Linked DNA regions of Ovis aries. The protein of the gene in region 2 interacts with the protein of the main gene of each other region in a pairwise test. Links are inferred from orthologs where the notes say so. Each region holds a gene or a part of one and is shown on either strand. Other genes may lie near its edges.

Region 1 (3,500 bases), on a different chromosome or scaffold from region 2:
CAGGTCACTGTGTAAGACCGGCTGGAAGAGGAAGCTGCTGGGGACGGGAGCAGAGGAAGGAGGGGTGGGGACTGTGGGAAGCAAATCCAGGAGGCTGCTAGTGGGAGGAAACAGCCTCTCAGGCCTTATCTGACCTCTTTTCTGTCCCCAGAAAAGAGCCCGACTTTGCTGGGGTGCCAGGGCGGAGCATGTCCTATCCTGGCAGCTCCAGCCACATGTCCTGGAGTGGAAGAAGTTAGGATGTCTCCAAACAGCTTCTTGTTAGGCCTTCAGGGTCACCTTGAGGGGCCCTGTGTGTGCATTTGGCTTCCAGGGTGAATGTGGTCCAAGCAGGGAAACACCCCATCCCCACTGCATCTGCATGGGTGTTTCAGCCTCCCAGGCAGTGTTCCTGGGGCGAGTGGGGGAAGCGGGAGCTGACAGCCAGAGAGGGAGGAAAGTGGCATTATATAAGTTTGCAAAAAAGGAGGCTGGCTTGCCACGTGAACAGAAATCAGATACAAGGAGAGCCACAGAGGCTGTGCAGCCTCTCCCGAGCAGCGGCTGTGGCCTGGGGAGTGGTGTCTGAGCAGCAGGGGCAAGTGAGGGAGCGGGTGTCTGGAGCCGTGAGCTGCTGGTCTTGGAGTGCAACCGTGAAAGAATCCTTCTTTGTGATCCTGTCACGTGTGTGCTCTTTAAATGCCCACAGTTCATCCGGCGGATCCTGGTCTCCATCTGGTGAGGCTACGAGAGCTGTGGTGCTTATCACCACTTTACCGATCCGCAGACCACAGACTACAAAAGCCAAGGGCTCGCCCAAGGCTGCATGTGGAACATGTGGCAGGGCCAGGACGCGAATACAGGTCTCCTGTCTCTGTAGCTAGTGCCGCTCTTTTGCTTTTATAAGAAGACCTAATAGGTCATTTCTGAACAGGCCATGGGAACACTGGAAGGTGAGGGCGCTTGGGGCTTTGTGGTCAGTCACTCAGGGTATGAGTGATGTATGAGCAGGGTGAGTGGGGAGAAGACAGGTCCAGGCATCACAAGGTCTGAATTCTGGTTCCCACTTTATCCAGTTTTTGCTGTGTGACCTCAGTCAAGTCCCTGGACCCCTTTGGGCCTTAGGCTTTTCATCTCCACCATGAAGGGGAGGAGCCAGATGCCTTCTCAGGCTACTTCTGACACCTGTGTCTATATGGGAGACATGGGGGCGTGCCAGTGGGTTTGGAAAGATCTTGAATTCTGTGCTGCTGTGTTCTGTGACACGGGTCTTAGAAAGACAGTACCCACGGTGTGAAGTGTGTGTGTGTCCCCGGTGAGTTTAGCCCCATTCATTCACAGACATCGAGGAGTACTTCCTGTATTGTCCTGCCAGGTATTGTTCTGTATCTGCAGTTAAAGGAGTGAGGCAAACTGCCAGCGTCCCTGCCCTGGTGGAGCCGGTGGTGGGTGGAGAGAGGCTGGAGCTGGCGTGGCTGTGGTTAGGACCTGACCCTGGCTGGGGATGATGAGGGGCTAGGTAGAGGTGGGCAGGCGAGGACTTCCTGGGATATGCGAGAGGGATTTTTTTGTTTGTTTTTTTACCCTTGGAAAGATACTTATGGATGTTAGAATCTGTGTAAGAATAAATAAACACATTCTTGTGGGTATTGAAGGGGAGCATAATAAAATCTTAATAGTAGCTCTGGTAGGTTGGGATTATGAGGGTTTCACTCTTGCCTCTGGTTCTCCAGATGCCCTGTGTTTGTATTACGCCCGTCAGAGATTCCCTGTCAGGGTTTGTGATTTTGCTCTGGGGTTTGGCCTGCTCTTGAGTGGGTCTCCTTGTTTGCTAATGTCTGTCCACAAACCTGGTGCCTGGGGCCCCTTTACCAAGTCCCAGCCTCTGCTCTTCCTGCTTCATGGGACAGTTGTTTGAATCAGAGGAGATGGTAAAAGGAAAATGTTGAGAAATCTACCTCTTGGCAAAGGGAAGGGCCAGCGGACTAATACTGGTGGTAGGCGCCAGGGTGGCCGTGGGGCTGGCTCGAGTGCAGCGAAGGGGAACGGGGCCGGTGCTGGGGACACTGTCCTGACCCCGAGGAGCAGCTGTAAGCCCTCCCTAGTTCTCGGGTCCCGACAGCGAGAGACTGTCCTTAACTAACAGGTAGACGCAGGCTCTTAGAGAAGTGACTTCAGTGAAAGAGAATCGGAAGTTGGCTCCCATCCCCTGGCACGCACACTTTTAAAACCCCCATCTTCTGTGCTTGTCGGGTCAAGAATAGCAGTGCCCGCCTCCATCCCACCCTCCTTTGGTCTTTGGTGTGTAGCCTCAGCAAGCATACAGGCCTTCCTATTCCTTCCTCCCTGTGATCCAGTGATAGGCGCTGTGTCTTGCCAACAGAGGCGGCTGAAGCAACAGACCTTTCAGCCTTGATTACTCATGGTAACTGACTCCTTCCTGTGGGTCATCTGGCCAAGACTGGATTCTGAGTGGAAAACACTGGCTCTCTGTCTTGCTTCTGTAGCAGCTTGTCACTCCTCTGCTGACGGGTCTTCCCCGAGCCCTGAGCCGGGGGAACAGGGGCCGCGGTGTCCCGTGTCCGTGAGCCAAGGGCTGGCTCCGTGATGGGGGCGTCCGCGGTCAGGGCTAGTCTGGCTGGGCAGCGCTTCCCAGCCTACCTGTCAGTTCTCTACCTTCCGGTTTTCTTTCCCCTACAGATGTCAAGCCGTCCAACATCCTAGTGAACAGCCGTGGGGAGATCAAGCTCTGTGACTTTGGGGTCAGCGGGCAGCTCATCGACTCCATGGCCAACTCTTTCGTGGGCACCAGGTCCTACATGTCGGTATGAGCAGCTCGTTCCATTTCTCGAGGTTCTTGTCTGATCAGGAATAGGAGCCAAGCGGGTGTCTTCCCATGTGGAGCCAGACCCTTGTGCTTGGGTGATGGGGATGGGGGAAAAAGAAATGAGGGATGCGCCGTGTGGTCCCTCCCTGAGGAGATCAGTCTCAGGGGAGATGGGCTCGGCCTTTCACAGGCCTTGGAGCATAGTCAGGGCACTGGGACCTTGACTCACTGGAAGAGACAGTGGATCACAGCTTCAGCTCAAACTGGCGCTTGGATGTTTCCAGAGCTTGGCTTTCATTCTGTAGACATGGAGCTCCAGCCACCCTCAGGACCTCTGCCTGCTGTCTTTAGACCCTCAGAATGACATGCCCAGAAATGCCCCCACCCCAGATTGCCCCGCCTTTCCCATTAGCAGTAAATGGCATCACTGTCTCCTTAGTCTCCCAGGATAGAAATCTGAGCATCAGCTTTCAGCCTCTCTGCCCATCTCCCCGTCCTTCCAGCACCTAGTGACCCCGCCTCCTGTCCTGTGAGTCTCTTCAGAATTGTCTTTCCCTGTGCAGTCTCTTCTCTCCTGCCTTGCTGCATGTCTCCCAGTTATCTGCCCCTCTCCCACCACAGCACAACTTCCTGGTCCCCTGGCATCTGGTTCAGCCGACAGCCTGAGGTCCCCGAGTCCTCCCACCTGCTTCCA
Region 2 (4,110 bases):
TCCAAACCAGGAGAGGGTGAGGGTTGTGCCTGCACATGGAAGTCAGGTCCCTGTACGAAGAGCTGTACAAGGGCCGTCCCTAGACCAAGTGGAGCAGCCCCCAGTCAAAGGCATCTTCCTTAAGCAGAGAGGCCCAGAGAAAATCTGCCTTCTGGCATTTGAGGTCCCAGCACAACAAAAAGTTCCCCAAAACCCAATAGGAAACCTGCACATTTTCAAAAGCAGTCCCACGGGGGAATTCCCTGGTGGTCCAGAGGTCAGGACACCATGCTTTCACTGCTATGGGCCCAGGTTCAATCCCTGGTTGAGGAACAAAAATTCCATAAGCCACCATGTGAGTGTGACCAAAAAATCAGCCCCCCAAACTCATGAGTTCTCTGCCTGCTTCCTCTGGCCTTAGACAACAATAATTCCAGTATTTGAAGAGTACTTGCCACACAAAGCAAGAAGCCCGTCTTTTTAAAAAGAGGAAAAGAACAGTGACACAACAGAACACAAGAAATCAGAGAACAAAAGGGAACCAAAAAAACCCTTACTAGTATCCCCAAAGTCAAGGAGAAAAATGCATTCATCAAACAATACATTATTATGAAAAAAGAACATTATAAATCCTTAGAAATTAAACTTTGATTGTGGAAATGAAAAATTTTTAAGTAGGACTGGAGGATAAATGTTTCTATCCCAGAAACAAGAATAAGATGACACAGGAAGAAGATAATGACAGAAGATTCAGAGGGTTAATCCAAGATGTCCATCATCAAACTAACAGAAACTCCTAAAACAGAAGAGTAAAAGCAGAGCTGGAGAAGGAAATAGCAACCCACTCCAGTATTCTTGCCTGGAGAGTCCCACGGACAGAGAAGCCTGGTAGGCTACAGTCCGTGGGGCCACAAGAGTCGGACAACTTAGCGACTAAACCACCACCAAAAGCAGAGCAGAAGACATTCTCAAATGACACAAGACTTTCAGATTCCAGAGCTGAAGGACAAGTCCCCAGAGTCAGAAAGCAGTCAGAGTAGGACTCTACACAGTTTTCGGGAATTCCGGAAATGTCTTAATACCAAAGAGGATCCTGAAGAGTTATCCAAAAGGAATAAGGCTACTTGGCAGTAGGTTCTCACTGAAATAAAGGAAGTCAAGATTAAAACACGAGACCTGAACAAACTCAGTTGTATATAGTAAAAAAAAAAATGTCAAGATGATACTGGTGCTGGTCTAAGGAGTAAACAATCCAGATTAGAAAAAGACCACCACAAGGCTGGGGAGAGGGGGATGGTAAGAGAGATTTAGTGCCATCCTTCAGAATCTAAAACAAGGTAAAGTGGGACTTCCCTAGCAGTCCAGTGGTTGAGACTCCATGCTTCCATTGCAGGGGGAACAGGTTCAATCCCCAGAGAACTAAGATCCCACATGCCTCGGGGAATAGTTAAAAAAATAATAAAAGGTAAAGAGTCAACAGGAACAAAAAGTGCAAAGAAAAAGAAAGGCCATCACAAACAACAGAAAAAAGCAAAAACCCGTATAACAGGGGAAATAGACTACCTAGCTGTGAATATCTGCTTAGTTATAAACAATCTGAACTGAACATAGTGATCAGGGGATAGAGGTGAGACGCGATATGAAAAAGTCAGTCATCCTATCTGTTAACAGCAAGTCAGGAATGTATAAAACCAGTAAAGTGCCAGCTTATTATTTATAGCAACGAAGAACTTCCTCATGAAACAGCAAAAATATAAAGTCTTGGAGGAGTGGAACTGGGAGGTGGGGTGGGGGCTGTTGTTTTATAGTCTTCCATTGACACTTTGCGGCATTACTTTATTAAAGTATCAAACGTGTGCAGTTTTTTCAGAACATGGACTTGGGACAGATCGCATTCAAACCTGGCCGTGTGACCCAGGGAAGCCCCTTCCCTCCGTGGGCCGCAGCCACCTCCCTGTCCCCCTGACCCGACCGCCGCGATGAGAAGCGCTGGAAACGCCGGCGGGACTGGCCGCAGCACTGGACCCACACACGGCATCAGCTTTCTCAAAATTGGAGCCGTGACAGGACCCGACGTCCCAGGAGGAAACGCTTATTTTAATCGCCAGACAAGGGGGGGCAAAGGAGCTTTAAACACACGGAGTTAACGTTACCGGCGGCTCGAAGATTCCGAGCACCGGGCAGGGGTCCCCAGGGCCGCTCCTCACTCGGGCCCGCCGCCCGCCCAGCGAGAACAGCCGCCTCCCGCACTTCCGCCCGCAGCCGCTGTCCCCGCGTCCGCGGCCGCCGGCCTCCCGGGGGGGAGCCGCCTAGCCGCCTGCCAGCCCGTGGCCTCACGACCCGGAGCGGCTACACCGCAGCAACAGCAGCGCGACCCCACCCCGCCCGCCCGCGGCCGGACGCTGCTCTTGCGGGCCTGGTCCCGGAAGGGAGGCCCGCTCCGCGACGGACCCCGCGCACCGCGACGGCGGGGGCGGCGGGCCGGGGGATGGGCGGCCGGAGCCAGGTGCGGGTGCGCTGAGGCGCGGCGGGCAGGCGGCTTGACAGGGCTGAGACGGGGGCGCACAGGACGGCGGGCCGTTGGGGCCGGTGGCCGTGTCGGGGGGGCGGGGGCGGCGGCGCGGGCGCCGCGGCCGGAGGAGGGCGCAGGGAGGAGGGAGGAGGGGAGATCTCGCTCTCGCTCTCGCCCCGCGGGAAGGGGGAGGTGGAGACGCGACCGGCTGCGGGAGCTGCAATTACCGTGTGGGCTGCGGAATTCTCGTGGTGTTTGTCGGGGAGATGCGATAATGGCGTCCGTCCTCGCGAGAGAAGCCGCCGCTCTGCGCAGGCGCCGCGAGTCCCTCCCCGCGGCCCTCCGCCCTGCACCATCTGCGCAGGCTCACCGGGAGGAGGAACGGGGACGGGGCAGGGCGCGAGGGCGGGGCCTGCTGCTCGGAATCTCCCGCCCGCGCTGGGCTGGCGCCGACGACCGCCGGGCATGCGCACGGGTCCTGCATCCTCGCCACAGATTGGCCTCCAAACTTCTTACTTCTCTGTCACGCGTTCAGGCTTCTCACTAGCCCCTGAAAAGTCGCGTTGGTGGACCGTTCGGGGAATTTGCATTTTCTTTGAGGCCTAATGAATAGGAATTAGCGCCATAGACGACTACATGTCCCGGAGGGCCCTGCGCAAGCCTCGAGCAGTGCATTCTGGGACTCGTGGTTCCTGCGTCTGCGCGAAGCCTGCTGGTACTTGTGGTCCCATCCCCCCCGACCCGTGCCAGCGCATGGAATGCTGGGACTTGTAGTTGAGGTGTGCAAGGCCGCTGCACCGGGCGCGGCTCTGGCCACTGCTGCAGCGGGGTTCCCCTGAGTAGCAGGCGAGCTCAGGGGTTCCCAGGTTCGTCACAGGTTCAAAGACACGCTCCTAGAAAAATATATATTAATTATATGTGATATATATTTTATGTGTAATTGATGTTATGTATTGTGATGTTTGTTATGTATCCTTAGAAAAGGCAGAGAGGAACCAGAGATCAAATTGCCAACATCTGTTGGATCATACAAAAAGCAAGAGAATTCCAGAAGAATATCTACTTCTCCTTCATTGTCTATGCTAAAACTTTTGACTGTGTGGATCACAACAAACTGGAAAATTCTTATTAAGTGACAGTGAAGTCCCTCAGTCGTGTCCGACTCTTTGCAACCCGTGGACTGTAGCCCACCAAGCTCCTCCGTCCATGGGATTCTCCAGGCAAGAATACTGGAGTGGGTTGCCATTTCCTTCTCCAGGGGATCTTCCCAACCCAGGGATGAAACCCAGCTCTCCCACATTGCCGGTAGACGCTTTAACCTCTGCACCACCAGGGAAGCCCTTAAATACAAGAATACAGTCTCTCAGAAAACCTCCTATAGAGACACAGAACTTCAGATCCAGGTACTAACATCAAAGATTTCAAGGGAGGAAAGGAAGCCAGGTTGAAAGAAGAAGGGGGAGGAGGCAGGAGAGGGGGGGACGAAAGGGGTGGCCTTACAGACATCTCCTGCCACCTACAGATGCCCAGGTATTATGGGACTTTTCCCTGGCCTCCAGAGAAGGGAGGACTGAAACTCGACCCTACCAGAAATCAGACCAGACCAGAACCAGAATTCG

Evidence for each region.
Region 1: the proteins of BANP (region 2) and MAP2K1 interact in binary tests that used the Homo sapiens proteins (3 or more experiments, as listed by UniProt). The two-hybrid records come from large-scale screens. The link is inferred for Ovis aries from reciprocal best matches to the Homo sapiens genes BANP and MAP2K1.

Annotation. Positions count from the first base shown.
Region 1 is NC_056060.1:13,310,741-13,314,240, forward strand, and holds part of MAP2K1 (dual specificity mitogen-activated protein kinase kinase 1), read left to right. Parts: intron 1-2,679; coding exon 2,680-2,804; intron 2,805-3,500. UniProt on the Homo sapiens protein: Dual specificity protein kinase which acts as an essential component of the MAP kinase signal transduction pathway.
Region 2 is NC_056067.1:12,929,245-12,933,354, reverse strand, and holds the start of BANP (protein BANP), read right to left. Parts: upstream 2,801-4,110; 5' UTR 2,133-2,800; intron 1-2,132. UniProt on the Homo sapiens protein: Controls V(D)J recombination during T-cell development by repressing T-cell receptor (TCR) beta enhancer function. Binds to scaffold/matrix attachment region beta (S/MARbeta), an ATC-rich DNA sequence located upstream of the TCR beta enhancer.